2 linked regions of the Drosophila melanogaster genome follow. The protein of the gene in region 2 interacts with the protein of the main gene of each other region in a pairwise test. Each region holds a gene or a part of one and is shown on either strand. Other genes may lie near its edges.

The links. Proteins that work in one complex are often made in the same cells at the same time.
Region 1: the proteins of Pura (region 2) and Zif interact in a two-hybrid assay, tested with the Drosophila melanogaster proteins (one large-scale study listed by BioGRID).

Annotation. Positions count from the first base shown.
Region 1 is NT_033777.3:6,455,571-6,459,549, reverse strand, and holds Zif (Zinc-finger protein), read right to left. Parts: upstream 2,463-3,979; 5' UTR 2,394-2,462; exon of another isoform or gene 2,334-2,393; 5' UTR 2,264-2,333; coding exon 2,120-2,263; intron 2,058-2,119; coding exon 1,441-2,057; intron 1,384-1,440; coding exon 1,249-1,383; intron 1,148-1,248; coding exon 877-1,147; 3' UTR 728-876; downstream 1-727. Other genes in the region: CG9727 (uncharacterized protein), read left to right, coding at 3,529-3,979.
Region 2 is NT_037436.4:7,591,127-7,596,137, reverse strand, and holds the start of Pura (Puratrophin-1-like), read right to left. Parts: upstream 3,048-5,011; 5' UTR 2,861-3,047; coding exon 2,693-2,860; intron 1-2,692.

The sequences.
Region 1 (3,979 bases), on a different chromosome or scaffold from region 2:
TCCGCAATCTCGCCACTAGGAAAAATATCATAGCAGCTTCAAAAGGAAAAATATTGGATACCATTTTGAATTTTAGAAATTTGTCATGATTATAAATATCACAGAAAATAAGTTTTAAACTCCTTTTCTAAACCAAATTTTGGAATAAATAATATGACTAGCGCCTTGGTTACCTATTTTGAATTATTGTACCCAGCTTTGCTTGCAGTGTATCACCACCCGTAATCAAATACAAAGCCCCAGGGGCCGAAAGGCTTTACCAGTCCATAAGAACATTTTTTGTTTCCGCTAAAATGATGATATGATACACGGGGGAGTTCAAAAAAGGAGACAAGCGGCCAATGAAAAAAAAAAACGCATTCAAGTCATGTAATTTCGGAACTTCCTTTGATATTGTACATTTGTTGGTGCTTTGCATGCGCTAGGTGCAAATTGGGTTTTTTCCAATTTCATTTTATATACCCACGGCGTCATGAAGCCACCCATATTTATTGCATAATTTTCAGCATAGCTTCCCGCGCACACACATTGCGAACATTGATTGTGGAAATAACTACGGCCAGTTGTGACTTTTACCAACTAGCGTACAACTAGATTGCCAGATTTTCTCGGGCGTGTTACATTTCAAATTGTATTGTATTGTATTGTATGTATTCAAATTATCAAATAAATTAATTTTATGAACCAAATTCCACATGCTGCTAAAACATCACATACGTTTGATATTCTATTTTTAACAAAAATAACCTTTATTTACGTATGAAGTTCATTCTTACAACTATGAATACGCTATCCGTTAGCGTTTAAGCTAGTATTACTGATTATAAGGGATTATATCTGGAAATAAGACAGTATACTCTACTGAATTTGATTGCGTCAGTGAGCTTGAATTCGGATCTCGTTCCCGCCCCCCTGCTCGGCCACCATTTCCACCTTCATGCTCTCGGCCAGCATTACGGCGTTCTGGTGCAGTTTGGTCTCCTCGTGCTGGCGCATGTGATGCAGCAGACGGAAGTCCTTGTTGCAATAATCGCAGCGGTACAGTTTGATGTCCGAGTGGATGAGCTCGTGCTTGGTCAGGGAGTGAGCGTAGGCAAACGCTTTGTCGCACACCTTGCACACGTAGGGCTTGATGCCACGGTGAACACTGATCGGAAAAAGAAAAGTTAGTTATCTCTGTCCCGAACTAGGAATATATTTAAATGGCCCATTTTGAGGCCTCTCCGTGAGAATAACATTTCTACTCACTTTTCATGAGACTTGAGAACACTTTCGTAGAAGAATTGACGACTGCAGAAGCTGCACTTATAGGGTTTGCTGCCCGTGTGGGAGTACATGTGCTTCCTCAGTTGCTCGCGCACCTGGAACTTGGCATCGCATAGTCTGTGAAGGCGGGATTAGGGTTATCGCTTTAATATGAAATTTACCGACTCGACTTACTCGCATGCATATTGGCAGATGCCGTCATGGCGTCTGCGATGCTCCATCATCCGGCCGCGCTTTTCGTAAAAGTTTCCGCAGACGTCGCAGATATAGCCACCCTTCTCAGTGCCGTCCGATGTTGTTAGGGAGTTTAATCCGCGACGAACCCGGCCGCGCCGCGCCTTCAGGCTTGCCTTGGCCGCCTCCTGCAGCGCCAACTGCTGCGATGGTGTCTCTTCGTACTGCTTCTCAGACTCCAGGACGATCTCGGTCTGATCGGAGTTCATCTCGATGGTGTAGTTGTCCTCCAAGTACTCGATGGTGTCGCCAATGCACTCCTGCTGATCGCTGGTGTCCACTTCCAAGTACTCCTCGTGCCCCTTTTCTTCCTGGTGCTCCTCTTCCCCGGTGGTGGTCTCCTCCAGGATGTACATCTCCTCGTCGCATTGCTGCTGCGAGCCGTCCTCCTCCTTGATCATCATCACATCTGATTCGTCCAGCAAGCCCAGTTCCCGGCAGTACTCCTCAATCTCCATCTGCTTGCGCAGCGCCTTCTCGCGAAACTGGTAGGCCATGTTGAGTTCGACCTTGCAGGACTTGCAGATGCCATCGGGTATGTGTTCTCTGTCGTTCAGCTGCATGAGGGATGGATGGATGAATGGTCAGTTCGCATTGCCAGCTCTAGCGATTCACTTACATTGCTGTATGAGACTCCCAAAAGTTGAATCAACATCTCGTTCGGCGATTCCTCGCCTTCCTCGCGGATCTCGTCTAGGCGCTGCAGTCGCTCACTCTGCGCCAGGCAGACCCGGCACGTCTGTGGGGTAAGCTCGACGCGCATTCTGGAATCCTGCTCGAAATTTAATTTAAAGAACCGCTCGCGTAGTATTGTAGTGTTAAAATTTGTGTTGCTAAAGTGTTGTGTAAAGCGACTGAAAAAAGAAACGAAAAGACATCGCCATTTTCCTTACCAGGGCTGCATAGCATCGGCGAACACGATGTGGTTCATTTTGCTGGTTCCGGGAAGCGGATTTTTGGTTAAATATCTGATAAACATGTTTGCTGCTTGTGACAATACATTGGAAATATTTGTTCCTTTAACCATGGCTAAACGATATGATATGATAACTGAAAGTATTCCCCAGTGTGCCTATAAACACAAACAACTTGTAAAATGAGAAAGAAAATATTAATACTTCAAATATTCAAATATTATGAAAACAATTATATATATATTTATATATTTCTTTCATATTTACGTATATTTAGATAGAGTAAAGAATTCAATCATAAAAATACCAACGTCTTACATTAAATATTATTTAAAAAAAGGCCTAATGCGCTTAAATTTGCCTTATCAATAGAAAATATTATGTCCAATACTGACAATACATCTCACCAAAGATTTAATTTAGCTAGGAACCAGTTCTCTATGGCTCATTTTTTTGACCAGTGGCGATAACGATGACAGCAAGATCACTAAAAGACTAGCGTTGCATGTTTATCATATACAAGCTAACATTGCGTAAGGTGAATCTGCAAATTATATACAAATTATTAGTAATTTACTCATTTATTTATGCGAAATCGCAAATACAACACCGTGTTTACATCCGAAAGCTCTGGCAAAAAAAGCACATTTCTTAATGCAGCCGTCTGGCAACGCCACATATTTTTCGAGACGCAGAACGCAAGATATTTTCTTATCTCTCGTTAAAAAATGGATTATTTCGGTTCAATCGGTGCGTATCTGGGAAAATCGCATGCTCGTTGGCAGTAAAGAACGCCACGCACTTTCACGTCCCACGCCCAGCGCACTCCCGCCTGACGGGAAAATGGGAAAGCAACTATATCTGGCATCCGTATCTTCGTCCGTCGCAGCCGTCAAAATGTTCGTCGCGCCAGTTATCGACTCGGCAATCTCCATCTCCTAAGGCACACACACACTCAATAGAACGCAGTCCAGCACTCACACAGGCAGCCACCTACGTAACCTGGCAGCGGAAGCGCCCTTAATCTTGGCCAGAAACCACAGCAGGCAGAAAACAACGAGGGAGCAGCAGCAGGCGGAGGGAAACGGAGGCGCCGCTAGCACTAGCACCTAACATGTCCGAGAAGCACGGCCAGCTGGGTGCGCAGTGGACGAAATCAGCGGCGCCAGCAGCAACAACAGCACCAGTCTCCAATTCCATTCCCATACCTCAACCGATCCCTGTGGCACTACCCCTCCAGAAACCCAACGCCAATCCCTATGGGAACTGCAGCCTACAGCCCGCGGATATAGTCTACAGCGCAACCAGATTTCAAGGACCTGCTATCCATGCAAAGGGCTCTCCTTTGACCATTACGCCCGTGGGCCCTGTCGGCGGAGCACCTGCCTCTGCCCAGATCTCGCCCACGAGTCACACCCATGTACCTGTACCTGTAGCCACGCCCAGCGGCTTTGTGCCGCCTCCGTTTTCCAATGCCACCAGCGCCAGTGGAGGTGTCTCCACTTCCGTACTTACTCCGAATCCCTTTGCCACGGCGAGTGCAAATGCTGCTGGCCTGGCCTTTG
Region 2 (5,011 bases):
CACTTTGACGTGCGCTTGGTCACCGATTGCATTAGAATACAATCAGCGAAGGAATACATTTACATACATTTCCGAGAACGTTGCTTTTCAATCTAATTGTTTGGACTTTCGACAACTCAAAAAATATACATATAAATAACCAAAGTATTATGCAGATCAATGCCCAATTATTGCGGGCTGCAAGATTGCTTGGTTATGCAAGGAAAATGATTAAAAAATTAAACAAAAACTGGACTATGTTCTATTTTATGTAGTAAAATCCCTGGCATTACTGCTACGTCTTCATTATCATAACTAAATTTTTTATCTTTATGTATTTGTATAGTTAATACTTCTCTTCCCAGTTCATAGAGTATCTTATAGTACAGTATCTTTCACTTCCATTTAGTCAGCATTTCCGACTGGGGACTGAGTTCTGTTTTATGCACAATGTTATTGTTTGCCCCGCTGAATAGCCGCCGCCCGTGTTTCATGCCCATCCCTCTGCCATAATTGTGGATACAATGCATCATATATAGACATCTTCAACTCCTGCCTTGAACTTGGCAAGTTCCCATATTATACATATGTATATACAAAATGAAGGGCTGGCTGTCCACATATATTTTGTTTGCTACTTTGTCGGTGTTTAGCTGAATGCCTTTTGACGGGCATTTGTTTACGATGCCAGACGCAGGCTTACCCTGGAACGCTAACGAGCTCGGGATTCCTTTGGTTCCTGGCTTCGAGATCCCCATGCGATTGCGTTATCCGGAACACGCGATGAGTGTTTACTTCGCTCTGGTTTCACGAAAAAAAAATCTGAGCAGTCGCTGAAACTTCAAGTGGTGCGAATAAACATTTGCCAGCGGGATAAACAATATATGGGCTCCACCGATGGCCCATAAATATAACTATTAAGTGCTCTTCCCGGTGGGTCTGCCATATATTCCACTTGCGAATGCGAACGGGCATTAGAATAAAGTTGCACAGCAAATTGGGTTGTGAGTAAGAGTATCAATATTTCCGCAGTCAATTAAAATCAATTAATTCCTAAGCTTTTTGTGATTCACTAGTTCGTGATTTGATTCCGGGCTTAATGACTACGTATATCATATATCATATGCCCTTTACAAATAGTTTTCTAATTTACGTTAATCATATGCATTATAATATTTTAGAATTTTACAATTAACTTTATGCATGCAATTGCCGCATTTCAGCTATTTGAAAATTCAGTTTCCCTTCAGACCAGTAACATAAAAATAAATCACCCATTTTGCAGTCTATTGGTTTATATCAGTTTGCAGCCTAAATATTAGAAAACTTTTTAATATGCCATGGGCGTTCAGCTTAACCCCTACGTGCTCTGTTTGAGATCCGCATTGTTACAAACACAAAAATTTCGAAATCGCACAAATGCCAGCTACAGATAATTGCCAAAAATCACCGGCAAAGTCAACTCAACTTTCATAAAACGGCATTCAATTTGATTTGCACAATTTGGAGGCCTCTTAGCGGCTCCTCGACTGTCGGTCGGTTTTCACATTTGTGGCATTTTGGCGTTTGTTTGAATTGATAACAGGCTGAAAGTGCCTTTCAAGCTGACAGCCATAATCGCTCAACGCCAACTGTTTGGCGGGCTAAAATAGTTGGGGGGTTGTTGGGGAGTTTTCCCGACTGCCAGGGGATGGAATTATATAGAACCAAGCCTATGTCTCCGCCAGGTCGATGGACACACCCATCCAGGCAGAGCGGGCGGAAAGCGGAAACGGAACAAAGCCTCAGACAGTGGCCAACTTGGGCTCAGACCAATTCAAACCAGCAACTCCGATGGAGAAATTATAGCGAGTCACGCGAGTGCTAAACTTTTCTAACCCTTCTTCAGCAGCCGGCTGTGCCCCGATTCGCAGGAAAACCAGAATTAGCTAAAAATTGCACCGAATGCCCGAAATGATTGTAGTTAATTGAATTTGCAGCCTGGCTGAATAACTTTTAATTGAATTCCAGCTAAAATCTAAAGGTTGTGAGCTGGAGTGATGACCCACTTGGGGATCTAGTGCAGGATGATCTAAGTTGGGTAATAAATACATAACTCTAATTGGATAGTCAGAAAAGGGACAAAAACATGTTCAGGGTTAGTAATTAGGCATACCTTGATAAAATACAAAACTTATTTTGCCGGCCTGTATAATAGAGCACTGACTTTATTGACTCTAGAAAGTGCTAAGTACTAAGGTAATGAAAAAAGTCACTTTTTGCGAATAATATTAATGACTACACAGATGCTTCTATTTATTAAGTTGTTCTTGTAGATTAATGGTACTCCTGTGATCAGTGTCAATTTCATTTTGGCTATGCAACTTCGTTAATATTCTGTTAAAGCTGGCTATTAAAAAAGTAGTAAACAGCTGTTTAGTAATGTCTAAAGCAGCCTTAAAATATTGAAATTCGAATAACACTCGCTCATTGGCTTTCGTAATTGATAAATTGAGCAACTACTTCAAGAGAATACCCTAAATACATAGCTATTCTATTTCCACATTGACTCTATCCAGTCAAGTCTATATATTTATTTGTTCACCAATGATCTCATTTCAAAGCCCATTAAATTCTGTAGCAACTGAGATTAAGTATATCAGTTTAATGGCTTTAGAAGTGGCTAAATGATGTGGTCACGTTGCTACTACCCTATTTCTTTCGGTGTACTCACGTGACACTGCCTTCTGGCCAGTCGGCGCCTAATCCACTTGAACGCCTCCTGGCGACGCCGGACAAAGGACATACTGGAGCGGTGCCACAGATGCAGGACGATGACGAGGACGCGCTGCACCCAGACTCCCAACCGCTCGCTCCACACTTCCCGGCGCAGCTGGAACATTAAGCACAGCACTCAGTCCGATTTTCAACGGAATCAAATACCATAACTTTCGCGAATGGCTAAGCACTGCGATATTCCTGGGCGGATTGGCCAAGACGGCGGGTAGCTAATAGAATTTCACTTTTGTTTTGGGGGCGGTACGCGGTACGGAACCGTTGTTACTTCAGTTGCGTTTGTTGTTTGACTGAGAATGCCGCCGAGTTTGTTTCTCCACCTCGGCAAACTTTGAGTGAGTGTGAGCAGTAGACTCCTCGACTTGAGACTCAAGACTTGAGACAGAGAGAGAGCCCTGCACTTGCGATTGTCACCGCTACTGATACTTATACTGTTTTTTTTTTTATTTTAACGTTTTTTTTTTTTTGTTGCTTTCCGCGTTTTGTTTATACAATTTTCTGGTGCGGACCGTGTGCGTGTGGCTTACTGGGGAACCCAGAAAAATCGTACTACTCGTACATAAATAATGCAATAAGTTGGGGCCCCACCGAATCGAGACAAAAACAGAAGGTGGAAAAATTGAAAAAAAAATCGAAACTGTTTTTGCATTCGCTGCACACATACACACACACCCATCAAACATCACACCTCTTCTGCTGTCCGAACACTCGAATACTTGAATACTCGGCTTTTAACCGAGCTTTGCACTCAATTTGATTGCCGGCAGAAGCGGCTGCAAAATCCACGGTAGTCACATGCGACACATGTGAAACACGCAGGGGAGGCCCATTTTACGGTGAAGGCGAAGGTGTTGCTTTTGTAATCGGCGGCCTAGGCACATTGGTCGCAAAACAACTAAAATGGGTGGTCAAATTTGGTATGTGACTCAGTTCAAAATATACAATATACATATATATCCAAATTAGATTATTAAATGGAATGTACAATTTGGAATAATCAAATATTTTTGAAATTATCTTCCTTGTCAAGTGGCAGTATACGACGTTTCATGTTAATATTTAATATGTTAATGTTAATGTTTAATATTTATTATTTAATTTAGAAATATTAAAACAAAGAAAGATTAACGCCCATGGTAGTGCAAAATTTGTTTTAAAATTAAAAAAAATATTTTATACACTTTTAATCGGGCATTTCTCCATATCATATTACCACTGTACTTGCACTAGTTCGTGTGTGGGCGTTTCTAGGCGATCCCTTGTACCGCGCCCAGTCTTCGAAGTGCAAGCGCCGCTAGGCGACGAAGGCAAACAAGTGTTTTGGGTGTCTGCTATACTCGTAAAATGCGAGGAGGATAAAAGCCCATGGAACGTCTATCGGAAAGCTTTTGGAGCGTAGATTAATGTTACTGGCTGTGGTCGGTCTGCTGGCCGTGTTGCTATTTTGTTATTTACCCGCTCGTTGCCAGTACGGTTATTTATTTATTTATGCTAATGTTGCTGGCAGAGCCGCTGACGCTGCATTTGCATTGTTTAGAATGAGAACAGCGAGAAAACGAGCGCAGCAACAAAAAGGGGGCACAGACAATAACAACAACTATAACAACAACATGTGCAACAGCAACTGCAGCTACAGCGGTAGCAACAAAAACACGACAAGTGGCACTCACGCGACAAAGGCCCATATATAAAGTGTTCTCATGGTTATCTCGTTGCCTGTGCGATACTTTCAAGTGTTTCACATGCAGAGGAAAAATTGATTTTTATCAATATAATAAACAATACACATATTCACATACATAATTCACTCACTGCAAATCATTTTCATTAAATCCAATTCATAGTTTTAAGATTTCACAAATTTGTTTAAGCACCCTAATAATATGTACCAAAAAAAAAATTTCTCACTGTGTGCGGATATTTTGGATACAAGCACATAGAAAGTTCGAAGTTCCCATCGCGTAGAAATTGATGGAAAATTCTCAGCACGTTCGTCAGTTGGTTCTGCTGCTCCGCTTGATTGACAACTGGGCGTCGGATCGCCCAGCTCAACTTGAATCGTTGAAGTATGGGCTTGAAATGCACCTGTGGCTCCAAACTTCGACGAAACCAGAGGCGAAGATGTCGCCGCTGGGCACGATGATCGATGGGGATCCAGATTCAAAACCAAGTTGATTTACCTCGACGATTCAGCGGATATCACCGAAAGTAACCACCTTTCACAAATGGCTAGAGTTAAGTTTGATAATAAGCAGAA